Linked DNA regions of Arabidopsis thaliana. The protein of the gene in region 2 interacts with the protein of the main gene of each other region in a pairwise test. Each region holds a gene or a part of one and is shown on either strand. Other genes may lie near its edges.

What was found. The genes of interacting proteins can lie anywhere in the genome.
Region 1: the proteins of AT5G15240 (region 2) and UPS1 interact in a protein complementation assay, tested with the Arabidopsis thaliana proteins (one large-scale study listed by BioGRID).
Region 3: the proteins of AT5G15240 (region 2) and ATERDJ2A interact in a protein complementation assay, tested with the Arabidopsis thaliana proteins (one large-scale study listed by BioGRID).

Annotation. Positions count from the first base shown.
Region 1 is NC_003071.7:1,092,918-1,097,500, reverse strand, and holds UPS1 (ureide permease 1), read right to left. Parts: upstream 2,800-4,583; 5' UTR 2,373-2,799; coding exon 2,145-2,372; intron 2,066-2,144; coding exon 1,927-2,065; intron 1,839-1,926; coding exon 1,685-1,838; intron 1,613-1,684; coding exon 1,489-1,612; intron 1,399-1,488; coding exon 1,024-1,398; intron 943-1,023; coding exon 790-942; 3' UTR 525-789; downstream 1-524. Other genes in the region: UPS3 (ureide permease 3), read right to left, coding at 1-207; AT2G03580 (F-box family protein-like protein), read right to left, coding at 3,020-3,108, 3,214-3,325, 3,768-3,949, 4,186-4,237. UniProt on the Arabidopsis thaliana protein: Proton-coupled transporter that transports a wide spectrum of oxo derivatives of heterocyclic nitrogen compounds, including allantoin, uric acid and xanthine, but not adenine.
Region 2 is NC_003076.8:4,945,699-4,950,981, reverse strand, and holds AT5G15240 (Transmembrane amino acid transporter family protein), read right to left. Parts: upstream 3,406-5,283; 5' UTR 3,221-3,405; coding exon 3,079-3,220; intron 2,408-3,078; exon of another isoform or gene 1,987-2,407; coding exon 1,376-1,986; intron 1,290-1,375; coding exon 771-1,289; 3' UTR 572-770; downstream 1-571. Other genes in the region: FTSH6 (FTSH protease 6), read left to right, coding at 1-150, 224-571; GASA4 (GAST1 protein homolog 4), read right to left, coding at 4,957-5,138.
Region 3 is NC_003070.9:30,067,653-30,073,964, reverse strand, and holds ATERDJ2A (DnaJ / Sec63 Brl domains-containing protein), read right to left. Parts: upstream 4,447-6,312; 5' UTR 4,296-4,446; exon of another isoform or gene 4,253-4,295; intron 3,977-4,252; exon of another isoform or gene 3,974-3,976; 5' UTR 3,943-3,973; coding exon 3,757-3,942; intron 3,679-3,756; coding exon 3,583-3,678; intron 3,493-3,582; coding exon 3,372-3,492; intron 3,258-3,371; coding exon 3,151-3,257; intron 3,065-3,150; coding exon 2,847-3,064; intron 2,739-2,846; coding exon 2,561-2,738; intron 2,484-2,560; coding exon 2,364-2,483; intron 2,142-2,363; coding exon 2,055-2,141; intron 1,895-2,054; coding exon 1,784-1,894; intron 1,568-1,783; coding exon 728-1,567; 3' UTR 525-727; downstream 1-524. Other genes in the region: AT1G79950 (RAD3-like DNA-binding helicase protein), read right to left, coding at 149-385. UniProt on the Arabidopsis thaliana protein: Required for integral membrane and secreted preprotein translocation across the endoplasmic reticulum membrane.

The DNA of each region.
Region 1 (4,583 bases), on a different chromosome or scaffold from region 2:
ATTTGGTCTGCTTGGACTTATTTCGCCTAGTGTAAACGCTATGATAACTGCAGCTAACAGGTTTGTCAGTGTGTAGTCAAGATAAGTATGTTGAGGAAGTCTACCGCGTCTTTCGGTTAGAGTCATGATTGCTGGCCATGTCCCTAAGAAGAGCAGAGCCAAGAGCATACAAGTGATTGTTCCTCCTTTGCTCTCTATCACATACATTTTATAAAATCACCAAATCCCACTGCATCAAAGTAAAGAAGTGAGATTCTTCTGTTATCATATCATTGATCTCTCGTGATAAAAATGAAGCTAGTTGTCTTAAGAAAGGTTCTTTAGAACATTAACACAAGACACATGCTGATACAAGAAGATCTCTATAAAACTCAAACCTTATATTCCATTAAATTTCCCTATTGACTAGGTTTCTTGAAAGAGATTACCTTATTAAAGCTTTTGTCTTAACTTTGACTTTGAGGAAGACCAGAGAACAACAGATACAGAAGAAAAAAAACTTAGTCTCTCATTTGATTGGCAGATCCAGATTCAGGAAGAAGTTAGTTTCCCATTTTCTATAAAATAAATAAATCTCAAGTTGCCATAAACTATAGTTTTCTTTCTCTGATGTGTAAACAAAGACAATACAACCAATTGTTGTTAGCAAAGCCCTAAGACAGAAACCAACAAAGAAAACACTTTGGTTAAATATAAACAAAGACTTGAACATGTTGCAGCCATTGGTGAAGTAACTCTTCCTTCAATGGATCCTTTTAGCAGTTTAACTTGAAGAAGTTTCAGTGAATTTCATTTTCTATGTCCCGAGGAAGCCATAAGAACCGCGACAGCGACTATGAACATAAGAAGCATACTGATGAGAAGTGTATATGTTTTTCTTGATGATCTTCTATATTCTCCAAACAACAATATCCCCCAAAATGTACTCACAAGTGGAAGTGCCTGAAACATATTCAAATCATAATAAGTAAAACATATTTCACTCTTAAATCATGGAACAGAGGATTTGTTTATTGTCTAAACCTGAACAGCGTCTGCAGCTGCATAGCCTGCGGCTTGACCACCCATGAACTGAAGACCATTGCCAAATCCACATAGAAATCCAGCCAAGAAAGACCAGCCTCGACCGTTCCAGTCATTCAAATAAGCCTTGAAAGAAGATCTTGGGAGACCAAGTATAGGCCAATAGAGAAATCTGATGTTAAGTATCAGAGCAACTACAAATGCAGAGATGGAGAAGTAGAAGAAGGCAGTGTACACATTTAGTTTTGGAACTCCATGTTTTAATGTGTGCCATTGATCGTTTGTTGCTAAGTTGAATGCAGGTGAGAACAGAGAAAAGCAGATACCGGCAAAGAAAGTTATCACCAATCCGATTATTGTGCTTTTGCCAAAGACCTGTCCTCAATGCCAATCATGAATCTTCAGAGAACATATATACATATCAGTTATATCTGTTAGGGTAAAGGAAGAGTAGTATGTTTCAACCTTTATAGCTCTTTGCTTCTCAAGCTCTATGAGAAAAGCTGCAGTCCCTTCTTTCGCTTTCCCTTTTGTTAACCCGTTGCTTGCAGAAATTGTTTCCATTTCGAAGGAAGAAGTAGTCTCTAAACTGAAACAAGATCAAGATTAGTACCAAACCAAACCAAACGGAAACAACAATAGATATGAATCTTTTTCAAACCTTTTGAAATTTTGGAGTTTGGTTTTGTTATCAGCAGCATTGGATTTATGAACAGCGGAACCGAAACAAACAGCGATCAAGAAACAAGCGACCCCCGGGAAAAGGACCTCAGCTCTGTTGATTCTATCATCCAAGAAATAGTTCAAAGTTGTGCCTGTACTAGAAAACAGAAATGGTCATAAGAACAGAGAAGAAACAGAGGAAAAAATCAGTTAAGAGTAGTTGAAGAAAGAAGAGTGTACCGATAACAACAGTGATACTAGCTGTGATGACTTCAGTAACTGATAAACCAACATAAGCCCAAGCATATTGTGTTGCTAAGTTTCCAAGGCTAAGAACTATTCCTCCAGCCATTGCAAACATCACTGACTGCCAATTATCCTATGATAAAAAAAAAAACCGCGGTTATACAATAGTTTTCGACAAGATGTCTAAGGAGAAGTAAGAAGATGTGACTGACTTGAGAGAGCTGTGTAAAGAAATTTGGTCTGCTCGGACCTATTTCTCCTAGTGTCAACGCTATGATCACTGCAGCTAACAGATTTGTGAGTGTGTAGTCAAGATAAGTGTGTTGAGGAAGTCGACCGCGTCTTTCGGTTAGAGTCATGATTGCTGGCCATGTCCCTAAGAAGAGAAGAGCCAAGAGCATACATGCAATTGCTCCTCCTTTGCTCTCTATCATATACATCTTTCTATCTCTCTTTTATATACTTATAAAAATCATGAAAAAAACTCTGCACCAAACAAGATTCTTTTGGTTATCTGATCTTCGACACACATTAATGATCGATCAAACTCAAATTGAGGATTGTGATCTTTAGACAACCGCAAAGGCAAGGCAAGAGTCAAAATCTATTGGGTTTCTAGAGAAGCAATGAAGAACAGAGAGAGTACTAAAAAGTAAACATCTTTGACTAATAATGAGTTTCTTGAAAGAGATTATTATTACCTTTTGGAAGCTTCTGTTCTAACTCTAACAAAGAACAAAGACAGAACAAGAGAGAACAACTTTTGATTCTTCCCTTTGGGGAGATTCAGAATAATTGCTAGTGGCTCTCATATTATTGGCAGATTCGGATTCCATGAGATATGACACCTTCCTCGATATATTTTTCAAGATAATTTTGTAGTATAAAATAAATAAAATGAATCTCGAGTTGCGTTCCGATTAGGTTCCTAGTTGATCATAAGTCAACGGCTGACACAATCTTGTCTTAAAATCATTATAAAAAAAAAAATTCAAAACAAAAAGGTGAAGTAAAAGTATGTAACAATAATCAATAATCTTGATGTAGTGGCGCAAAGTATACTGATAAAGCTTGCTGTTCTTGTAAGCTAAATCCCCAAACATCGGAGCTGATGTCCCATACTTATCATTCCAGTTCCACCAAGAATCATCTCCTTTCTTGTATGTGAACAAATAACTGTTGTGTAAAGTCCAAGCAATTAAATAATCCACTGTCCTCTCATCTATCCAAGACCAACTGATCTTGTTATTCCCAACATGTGTTTGGACACGCAATACTTACCAAAAGGATGGAGGACGAACCATCCCCACTTGCCTTGTCTATTATAGTATCTGCTTGGCTCGAATCTTATTTTTCCACCGCGAACTGACGACTCCATTGACGGAAGATTGATCTTTAATAAGATTCGAATCAAGACGAGACTTGTTAAAGTTTCAAATCCTTAAACTCTAGAAACTCTAGATCGTAATGATAGAATCGATTACGTAACTACAAAGAGAAGATAAGAATCGTTATGTTTAGATCAACATAGATATAAGCAACCGATGACCAAGAGATCAACATTGATCTCTTCCTCTGGCACATCACAAGGCCAATTCTCTCTCGAGAAATATCACAACATAAAAAGCATAAAATCCCCAGATAAGAACAGAGTCAGTATTTATAGAAGAAGAGTTTCAAGGCCTCTAACTGGAAAGAGTATTTGCCCTCATTTGTTAAGTCAACTCAGTCAACACAGTAGTTGACTTCCTCTTTTCTCTTCTCAGCTTCGCTTAGCCCAATCTTCTCAGCTTCTTTCTCTAGTAGTCGACCTTATAAACCTATCAAGAATCTACCATCAAGAGCCAGTTTCCGGAGCTAGCCATATAATAGCTATTGTCAGAGAGTCCGAGGAGTTTTGTCCCGTAAATCTTGTCTTCACCGGGATCAAACAAACTGGAAGAATCATCATCGTAGTATATGATCCGCCATGGATACAGAGGCCGTTTCACGCATGTTTTCCAAACGAAATACCAATCTGAGCAAACGAGTTTTGCTTGGTGGTAGTCAATAGAGTTCAAGCTTTCAATGATTTTTCGCAAAAGGTCAAGACAAAGCTTGGACCAGTCGTGATGATGAGATACTTTTGGTCAGTTTTCTTCTCTCATCAAATCGTTACGCGCATCCACCTTGATGATCTTTAGGTAAATAAAGATCAATATTTTCATGGTCTTTTGCAAAGATCGCGCGGGACAAATTAAAGTTTGGACCAACCGTGATTATCAAACACTTTTGGTCTTTTCTCTTCTCTCATCGACATATCCATGTCTGCGCCTACTTGCCCTATACGCTAAAGTAACTAAGGTTTTGTTTTAGGGATTAGAACGAACGCCTATTAAGTTTAACTATTTTTATACATTTACATATAAGTAAGGTTCCCTCAAACTCATACCGTAAAAAACTGACAAGTGGTGTTTGATTCATTTGACATATGTCATTCCTCTCAAATTTAAATATACTATTTTTATATTTACTCAATCTAATAATAGTTTTATACTAAACAAATCTATTGAATTATTCTAGTGAATAACTTCCCTGCATATTAGATCTTCTCGATAGCCAGATAGTTGGTGGTCGTATATCAGCTAAAGAGCTTACTTTTGTTGTTGTCT
Region 2 (5,283 bases):
GATCCGACATTGGTGTCTAAACAGCAATTGTTCGCTAGAATCGTCGGAGGACTCGGAGGCAGAGCCGCCGAAGATGTAATTTTTGGAGAACCGGAGATAACCACCGGCGCTGCCGGTGATCTCCAGCAAGTCACTGAGATAGCAAGACAGGTACAGTAATTGAAACAAAATTTTCATAAACCGGAAAAAAACGGTGGATTTTCTAATTATTCTTATGGTTCAGATGGTGACGATGTTTGGTATGTCGGAAATCGGTCCATGGGCACTAACCGACCCAGCGGTTAAGCAAAACGATGTGGTTCTACGGATGCTAGCGAGGAACTCAATGTCCGAGAAACTTGCGGAGGATATTGATTCTTGCGTGAAGAAAATAATCGGTGACGCTTACGAGGTTGCGAAAAAGCACGTGAGGAATAATAGAGAAGCTATAGACAAGCTTGTTGATGTTTTGTTGGAGAAAGAAACCTTAACGGGAGACGAGTTTCGAGCAATTCTGTCTGAGTATACTGATCAACCGTTAAATACCGATGGCGATGTAAGAATTCGAATCAATGACTTGATTAGTGTCTAATACAGACACCTAGATCAACTCATGTCTTCATTTAACGTATTCACATTTTTCTCATTCCAAATTATTACATAACTCAAAAAAACTTCGTTAACGAAAGTCACAAAAAATCAAATAAAACAAATTATGGTATTGGACTGTTGGTAGTACAAATATCTTCCTAAACAAATACTCTATAAGCTAAACTTCACCTATTGGGATTTCAAAATCGACCAAAAATGTCCTTGACCGCTTGGTAAGTTCCGGTTATCACAACCACGATACCGGTTAGAGTGATTCCGATGAGCACCAATGTTTCGAATCCGAGTCTTTGATATTTCCCAGAGATCTTTAAGTAACATAAACATGGCAATATAACCGATGCGGATGCGCTCAAGAATGCTCCCACAAGACTCATAAGATCACCAAAAAACGGAAGAAGCAATGCCACAATCACATTGCTAGTAACTAGTATTGTACTTAGCAAAAATCCAGAAGCTCTTTTATTAGGCAAAACTCGAGAAAACCGGCTTCTCATTGCGTCAATAATAGGTGTAACCATGAGAGCAAACTTAGCTATTGGGTTGACCAATGTAGTCCATATCGCCACTTTTGAACTAAGCTTATCAGTAGGAAGATTCAAAGTGATCTGTGATTCAACATCTGATCCATACATTAAGTAACCCAATACCGCCACTGATGCATATATGAAGGTGCATATTGTGAAACATATAATCATAACCTGAAAATGTTAAAAAAAATATGCAAAATTATTAGTGTGAGTTTTGGTCAAGAATAACCTAATGATCCGTTATGTAAAAAACTTACGTTTGAGAATTGGCGTTTGTTCTTCATGGAAGTGTATAGAGTTGGGAAAACTGGATGAGCGCAATAACAAAACGCGTATAAGCTCACCGAAGTAGCGACTCCATTAAGTCGAAAGACCTCTGAGTCATTGTTCTTGAACCCTACGCCTTCAAAAGCTCCAACCGAAAAGATAGAAGCAAGAATAACCCCGGAAGCAAAGACACCACTCGCGGAAACATAAGAAAGAATCCTCATATTGTCTAACCAAACCGAAGGAAGAATAATGAGAGCCACCATGATGATGAACATTTGCTTGCCTTGGAATTCAAGCCCCATGAAGTTGAGTCCAACGTTTGAGAAGAGTTTGTTAAGGTTGTCACCTTCTAGGATCAAGAAACTAGTTGCAACTAGGTAAAGCTCGAGGTTCATGAAGATGGAGACGATAACACGTCCTGTGTTTCCAAAGGCTTTGTAGCCAATGTCCGGGTATGATCTAAGAAGTGGATCCATTTCCATACATCTCTTAATGAGAATGGCACAGTAGAAAGTTGTGATCGCTACGGTGAAAAGTATGATCAAACTTAGCCATCCTCCGGATGCTAAGGCATAAGGGACCGATAATATACCCACACCTAAAAAAAAAAGAGTTGATCAGAAGAATGTCCAAGCCTAACGCATATGCTAATTAACGTTTTTTGTGTTAACTATTTACAAACGTTCTTTTTGTATATATGAAAACGCAAACGCAGTTTTTAATTGAAAACACAAACGCAAAGAAATATTCGTGGTCTCGTTACCAATAAGATAATATGATTTGATTTTATCAAAGTGGTTTGTAGTCTTGTAGAAGAAGAAGAACACAAATTGAAAAGGGAAGACGTGTTGTTAATGTGTTAAGGTTTTGTTCAGTGACACGTTGTATTTATATCTGAAAGATAATTGGAATTGCTGGTTTCTTTCTATTTAATTATATGGACTGTTTTTTGTTCGTATATGGTCTAGTTTGGTCTAGTTTGGTCAGACGTGTTTCCAGTATATAATTAGTTTTTTTAGTATAAACTAAGTATCTAGTTTGGTATATAAACAATTAAGTACAACGATAGCGGCCAGTTTGATAAACCCATTATTAGGCCATTACCACATTTAGCGAATAAATAATAGCAATAGTCATTGAAAACTTTGCCGAATTGTTAATACTATAGTGTTAAATTCAGTTAAACGGAACCATCCTAACCTTTAATAGTCAGAACAAAAATGATTTGGTTATTTAGCACTATTGTTTATCAAAGACTATGAAACTGAATCTAGACGAAGAAAAACACAATTCAGTCTAAGTAGAACTGGTTTTAACTTGGTTATGATAAATTATCAACAGAAAAATTAAATAACTAAAAAAACTGAGGCAAGACTAGGAGGTAAAGAAACAAAATGTAGGATTGAAATACACACCAATCTAGATGATACAAGATAAAGTCAAAAGCTTGAGTTAAAAACATGCATCTATAGAAATTAAGTACAATAAAGCTAATTATAGTTTTTTCTAGATTATTTTGAAAATTAAGATATATCCTATCCATATATGTGGACATGCTAAGAGTTGGATCTTTCCCCGTGAGTTATGGAGTTTGGAGATAAGAAGAAGTGGTGAATAAATCAAAAAGAAAAAATCAATCACGAAAATGAAAATAGAAAAAAAAAAAAAGAAGAAGAAGAGGAAATTAAACCTGATAAGGCGTTAATGCCATGGAAACAAGTCTTGGAGAAAGAAGTATTGCCCTGTGGATTATAATCATCAAGCAATGATTCTTCATCATCAATCTTCTTAACGATAAATGGCTCCGACATGTAATCTTTGTCCTCGCTCATACTTGTTTAGTCTTTGACTCTGCTCTTTGGATATCGAAGAGACAAAGAGAGAGAGACGGAGAGATCGAGAGACGAAGGAAATAGATAGAGAGAAGTTGGAACTTGGAAGTAAACAATAAAGAAACCCTCAAAAGGCAATATATATAGTGTTAATACATTTACTAGGGTCAATGTTTTTAAATTACATCAATTATTAGAGCTGATTTTTATGCAGTATCCATGCACATATGATATCTACACGATATTAGCGTGGCAGTGGAATTCTATTTAATGTTTATTGACCAATTAAATATTCGTGGATGGGGTTTTTAGAAACTAATTGAAATTTAAGTGCAACTCTTTATATAGAAAAAAATTATAACCACTTACACACAAATCTACCATAATTTGCGATTTGTGTGGTTCTAGAATTTAATGTTAGTTGTATAAGAAAATTGGTAGGAAGAGAGAAAATAAAACTCCACGAAGTTTTCCACTTTAATGTTAGGGCGTTTAACTTAGGTGATAGAGAGAATGCAAGTACCAAATCCTCTTTCGGTGAAGACTGAAGAGGGATCAAATTTTCATAAAAATACATGGTCCAAAGTAGTATATCATGTCAATAATCTGTTGGACGAGACTGGAGCACTTGAAAAATCGTCACATATTTTTTTGTTGTCGTTTGTTAAAAATAGTTGACAAGTGAATCCCCAGACCTAAAGAGTAGATAAGTATGAATAGCCTTGATCTGACGTAAATCAATATCTTGACGCTAGTTTACAGTTATGTTCTACAAGGTGCCGAGTAGTTCTAACAATAATGAAAATATCGACATATATATCTATATATTTTCGTTACTATTAAAACCATACTGCAAATTTTTTACAGTTATCCAATATGTTTTCATTCAGAAATCGAAACCAAAAACTTTTATAGGTTACAAAATGAGTTCTTTAGAAAAGAAGAATACTCATTGCCGGCCATTTCCCCATGTTGTGCTTGTGAAAAAATAGCATGCACATGTTGATAAAAAAAAAAAGTATCTTCTTCAAGATCACCATTCAAAATGCATGTGAGATGTCTAACAAAGAGAGCTAAATTGAGCTTTGTTGTTAATGCTAATAACTATAGTTGTACTCCAAACCTCATATTTCTTGTCGATTAATGTCAATATATAAGGCATTATTAAGAGTATTTATTGATACGTAGGGTAATGAACGGGTAAAACGTTTATAAGTTTGTGGTTCATATCATTGCACCGATTGTAAAATATCGTTGTCGTTATTTATTTCCAACTGCCCAAAGCCCAAGTCTTGTATAAAAGAAGATTGCGGCAAAAAGCAATCGCGTTAGAACACGTGATTTTGTAAAAAGCTTGGAAAAATCAATAATGGGCTTTTTAGTACTGGGCCGAGAGACCCAATGTCACTCTTTTCTACATATGCATACTTCTTTCGCAGGAATTTTTTAAATTGTATTATTTGGTTTGCCTTACCCTTTATAGTATTACTATTTTCGAAATGGAAAATATCTTTTTTTTTGGTGGATGAATGGGAAAATATCTTTAGAAACACAAGTATTCATGAAAAATATCATTCATAGGGCCACTCTCATTTTTTTTAGGATTTAGAACAAAATCCGAAAAGGAGTGACATAACATTACAACATTAGGAATAAAGTAGATAAAACATTGATCAAAGGAAATTTAGTTATAGTTGAAAATTTTTATTATAAAAAGGGAACGAAGGGAGATTTTTTCAAGGGCATTTTGGTCCACCCTCTTGAGTTTTCCAGTTGTTGTAGCAGGAGCAAACTTGTTTGTTCCCATAGTAACCCGGAGGCACACAGAGACACTTCCTGCAGCATTTGTTGCAGAACGTAATGCAAGCCTTGTGGTACTGTGTCTTTTTACACCTCCTATCACATTCCGATGGGCATTCTGGTTGTTTCAAATACAAACAATATCAAAATGTTAACACTCAAAAATTTTTTATTACTAATAAAAACAACAGAATCTAGTGGAAATTCATTAGCTTTTTTTTTTACTGTTTTGTGGGTCTCAAGATAGTGGGTTGCTTTGACTG
Region 3 (6,312 bases), on a different chromosome or scaffold from region 2:
AGCGATATAGAATTGGGGAAAGCAAAATAAACAACAGAATAGAGAGAGAGAGAGAGAGTATCATCACGCGAATATCATCATCAACAAAACAGTTGAAGAGAGTTGGTGTGTAAAAAAGAGAGAGAGAGAGAGGGAGAGGGAAACCCACGTTTTGAAGAGACTCGATGACTCTGTCCATGTATATGATCTGAGACTGGTACGCCTCGAATGGGAATTCAACATTGATTCCTCTGATGCTGTAATTTGGCATTTTCGGGTCGGATTCCGCCGATAACACCACAAAACCTCTCCGGAGAAGACGAAGAAGAAGACGGAAGCAGACGCGCCTCTTCTGATTTTCCCGCCTTGTAGGGCTTCCACTTCTTGAAACAACCGTAAAGCCCATTATAACCCACTACTTTATTAACAAGGCCCATTACCTGATACCTGATGGTCTGTATTGGGGCCCCCAATAAACCCTAAACCCTAAACTATTTGGGGGAGTTAAAAAGTTTTGTTTTGTTTTGTAATGCTGTGTACCAAAATTTGTCCGAGTTAGTACGATTTTCTCCTTAGTCGCGTTTTGCTTGTATGTGTGTCTCTGAAGAAAAGTGATACAGAGAGAAAGAAAGAGAAGGGAGCCAATGAGAGAATATCAAAACTGTGAAAAAGAAGTTTCCGTCAAGATTCCAGGACAAAAGTATTGTATTTTTTGTTTTGTTTATCAATGTAAAATCTCATTTCTGTTTCACTCTTCCTCCGATCCCGACTCTTCAGAACTCGACTCTTTCTTCTGTTTCACACTCCCATTGGCCTTCTTCGACCCTCTCTTCTCATCCATATCTTTCTTCTCATCCTCATCTTCACTGTACTCACTTTCGTAATCATCATCGTAATCCTCCTCCTCAATCTCATCTTCCTCCTCCATACCTTCTTCTGCAATCGCACCCTCATCTGAAACCAACCCACGTGTCCCTGCCCTGGTTCTTTTCAGGACTTTCACTTTCAGTGCTTGCTTTTTGTCACACCCGATCCATGTGTCACACAGGCAGAAGCAAGTCAAGTTGTATGTTCCCTCTGCCGGTGCTTGGAGTTTACCCATGACCAGCCTTGACCCTCCTTTAACCTTCTCAATCGCTTCTCTCACTGCATCGTTTGTTTCCTTCACCCCTGCACCCGAACCTTCCATTGACTCACTGATGGCTTTTGATGCAGCCGTTATCGCTCCACCTTCATCCAGGAAGCTAACCTTCTGAGAGAACCAAACGTTGTTCGACACTGAATCAGCCAGAAGAACCCAATAGTTTTCCTCCTTGTGGAAGGGGAAGTAGGGTGCATGAGGAAGAGCGCCTACAAGCCCATTGGGTCGTTTCAGGGTGACCCAAGCTTGAAGGGTCACAATGTCTCCCTCTTGGATCCCCTCTTCCCCTTCTGTTTCACATGTGATGTCGACTGTAATAGACGGCATCATTTCTAGCACCTTCTCAATGTCCTCAACATCAGTTGCTGATAAACCCGCTACCTGAGTAAGTAGTTCAGAACGGTCTTCCAACCTCATTTCTTGAAGATCTTGGAATGATTTAACCTTCTGAAAATAGGAGAAACAATGACATGTTAACATAAAATGGAGGTTTATATATGTCTTTAGACTAGACCTTTAAGTAAACCAACCTAAAGAACCACTACTACTTATTTGGAGAACAGAATCCAACAAGATTCTCAGGAATCAAAAAGTGAGAGAAAAATGCACATGATATGGAACTAGATATTAGTACTGCACTTGACACATTTGATAGTAGTATACCTTCCGTGCTATCTTTTTGACAACGGCATCACTGAAATGAGGGAGCTGTAAGAAAGGGGAAATGCCTTCTGATGATACTCCAGAAGACTTCCTTGCACTAAGAGGAACAGCCTGCGATTTTGGATTTTTAGTTTATGTTCCTAGACAACAACACTAAGCACTTCTTAAACTTTCAGGAAGAAGTAAATCTTGTGGAGAAAAGAGACATAAAGAACTGAAAGCTCACAAACAAATAAAAACTAGAAGATAGGCGATGAGAGCAATTTAAGACCTGAACAATGCACTGAGATAGCTCAACTACTCCAACTGCAGGCCTCAGCCATCCATGCCCTTGGGCAGTGCGTGGTATAACCGCCATCTGCAAGAAACTCACAATGTTATAATGAAAGAATGGTTAAGAAAACCACAATTTAACAGTGTAACCAAAAGCATCACTATTAACCTAAATTTCTAAGTCTTTTAAGAGTCTGTTTCGAGTTCCTCTAAAGGAAAATACATATCTTCTAGGTTAGCACTTTGCGGTCATCGCTTTTTGATGGTTATTTTATCAGAAATTGTGTTATTTAAATAGAGACTAGACCTTCAATAACTCCTCAAGGAGGCGAGGTGCAAGCTCTAGCACACGCCTGAAATCACCCTGAAGGGCTGGAGACAGGACTCCTGATTCACGAGTTAACTGGGCTTGTATCAACAGCTCGGTCTGTACAGAAATTGAGGAAGTGAGTATTTCAGTTTATCCAATATTTAGCATTACAGTTGCATAATTTTAAAATTCACCTTCACTATGGCAGGATGCTGTTTCCAAAACTTAGCTTGCTCTTGCTTCATGTTCTTCAGGTCCAAATTTAGTTCACTCCTAACAGACATAAAGAGCTTCTGCAGAGGTTCATCATCAGTTCTACGAACTGGAATCTCCATGTACTCAGCTGCCTTGGTGAAAACTTCCATAACTTTGCTGGACAATAAAAATTTTAAAACATGTCATACAAACAAACGAAAACACAGCCCATTTGTCATGCACCAATAGCATCACTTGAATGTATATGGGTATGAGTGAATATACCTTGGGGCCAGAGAGGGTTTCATTAGATAATAATATGCGGAGAGTGTTTGATGCATAACGTAGTTCCCAGTATACTTTGATGACCTCGAGAGATATATAACAGCAATCACAAGGGGCAAGAGAATACAGACACCAACTATCCAAAGCAATAATATGCCACCAGATGCTCCATCAATGTCTAGAAGAAATTGAGGAAGAGCAATGCCCATTTGAAATCCCTGCGATCACATAACAATATTTTAGTCTCAATAGGCTTGTCAATAAGACGGGAGCACATGCGAAGGGAAAGGAGATGTATCCTTACCTGTCTGCCATCTGGATGACCATACTTCTCAAAGTTTTCACGGGATACTGAATCAGTCAAAGCCTGGTATGCTTTAGATATGAACTCCACAAAATATTTATTGGCTTCTGTAGAGATCAACAAATGCGCATAGAAGAAAAAACTATCAGGATCAAAAGCTGCAACCATAATTCCGTAATGATCAAAAGGGAAAAAAAAAATAACAAGGGGAAAAACTTGACCTGGATCTGGATTTTTATCAGGATGGTATTGAATCGACAGCCTTCTATATGCTTTCTTTATTTCTGAATCTGTAACTCCAGGTTCCAGTCCAAGTATACTGAATGGGTCAAAAACTTGAGCCTGTAACACAAAAGAAGGTAAATAAGCAAGTAGAATTAGTTGATATAAGTCAGCGGTGCATTCAAGTTCAACAGCAAGCAATGGGATTACCTCACGGCTCATGTTCTTAGTGTAATAAATCAAGAAAATCATCACGACCCAGAGTAGCACAAGTGTCAAGTTGCTCCACGTAGAGAAGTTAGAGATCTGCAGATAGATAAGTGAAGAAGAGGTTAGGAACATGCAATAATCTATTACAGAGCAGGAGGTTGAGTGGAAAGTAACCTTTTTAAACAAGGATCTCTTATATTTTCCAGAACGGTCACACTCGAGACACTGACAATGAATGGTCCTTTGTTTCTTGGAGAGAGCACCGCTTAACTTGACCATGGTGTAAGGCACCAAAGGAATTGCCATAATCGTCAAGATAAAAATGGGAAACAATGCGCTATTCTCTTCTGACGCCGCCATCTTTGGAGCCTTTAAACTGAGAGATTCTATTCTGCTGAAAGGAAAAGCTCTGTTATAATCTCACAACATCCAAAAAGCTTCAAGGATACAAAATTATCAATAACATGAAAAGCTGGATCTGAGGCCACTGAAATTAATTAGGGATTCTACATGACGGAGATCAACACTAATAGATCTCGGCTAATCTAGTCTAAAGGTATATGAATCCCTGGACTCACTTTGAGATCGACACAAAACCTTAGAAAACAAACAAACGAAACTACGGGAAGGAAGCAAAACCAATAATTGGTGAAAGAAGATGAAATCGAACTTGAAAGGATATTGTAGAAGAGGAAATCGAAGAAGAAGCTCACCTAGGATGATAGCTCTCTATAATCAGAGAGATCGCGCTGCTGCAGATCGGCAACAAACGGCGTTGCAGTTTTTTTTTCTTTATGCTTCTCTTCTCTTCTAATTTCTGATTTCTGATTGGTGAGTTCTTTCTTCTTTACTTGCTTATTCACTTTTCTTTACCTTCTCAATTAAAATATTTCGCAATTCATTTCTCTCTTTACATTTTTACGAGTTATTTATTTTCCATTAAATTAGAGTAATTATTAATAGCAAAGTTTTTATGGTGAACGAAAACGAATTTCCCAAAAAAAATCACATTTTTTATAAATTAGAAAGGAAAAAGAGAAAAGGATATGGATCAAAGAGGGATTATATGCTCTAGAGATTTAATGTGATCCAGATATTGTAATAGGGATTGCAACAAATCTCTTATATGTTCTAGAGATTTAATGTGATCTAGAGATTGTAAATAGTTACAACAAAATAGAGATTTAAACAAAACAAATATTTAATGATTTTAAGAAAACTGTTTTGTTGTAACTATTTATATTTCGACCAGAAATAAATTGTTCTACTTGCAAAATACATCAATCTTCGTTATTATTATCGATTTAATCATAAACTGTCTAATTCAATTAAATTTATAAGAGCATGGTTACCAATACTTTTTTATCTACTGTAACGAAAGCTAATAATGATTTTGAATGAGTTTGGTATGATTTGGTTATTCGATTCACTAAAATAGTCGTTTTAAATCTAGCCAAATATCGTATAATTTTACTTGTTTTGATTATATTAAATAATCAGTTATTTGAAAACTTTGTTGACATGTTAATATTATATATAACTAAAACAAAATATAGATATTAAAAACAAAGAAAATGTTATTATATAGCTATTATCGTTTTTCATACCATTTAAATTTTATTACTGGCTTTCATATTATGATATTGTTGTACATAGACACCACTGCTAAAATGCTTATTAACTTGAGATTTTGCTTGTGAGATTTGGAGGCTAATTTTTTTCTCGGTTAAGCATTTCTCGCATCATATGCCTTCCACATAGTTTGAGCTTTTGTTCACCAAATGTTCTTACCACTCTCAAGAAACTGGCAGCACACGAATATGCTTTCCACATGGTTTGAGCTTTTCTCTTGGACAAAAACTCGTTCACCAAATGTTCCTACCACTCTCAAGAAACTGGCAGCACACGCATATGCCTTCCACATAGTTTGAGCTTCTCTCTTGGACAAAAACTCGTTCACCAAATGTTCCTTCCACTCTCAAAAAAATGGCAGCACACGGTGGAGTTTACCACATTTGAAAACAAGTAAATAATGTCTTACATAATTCACAGTCACTGCTTTCTTCGATCATTTTCAAGAATTTTGACCGTGAAATTTGCAATACCATATCTTCAAGAAGACATCTAAAAGGTTTTCGCAATCTGGTGATTAGGTTAATGCTCTTTTGTAATACATTTCTTTCATTTTATATATGATATTAACATTTATAACAAAAGAAAACAATCATAGCATATTGCATGTCATTGCAAGTTTGCTATATACAGTAGTTTTAAACCGAGTAAACTTAAGATCAGGTAGGAAAGATGCAAATAAAGAAGCAAGTGATACCAAAAATATATGTAAACATTTAATATAGTTCTTCAATCTAATTGACGATTAGAAAGTACTGTACTAGATGATTACGATCCAAGATTTTTGTCCACACTAAGAATATTTCACAAAATAAGGTTTGCAACAGTAGGATTGAAATGCCAGTAAACAGTGACATTATCTCGAAAAAATCCAACTCAGAAATCATTTACTAGCTAATAATATTTTTCAAATAGTTTAGAATTATTATTGTTGTTTATCATTAACGCATACAAAGTTAGTTGTATAATCTTTCAACTTATAAATAATTTGGTTTTGGACGGAAGAGCTTTACGCAAATGTATTAATTTGGTTTTGATAATTTTTATTTGTAGACTCGATTTGTTTACGTAAATTATGAAAGAGAGGCAAAAATAAAT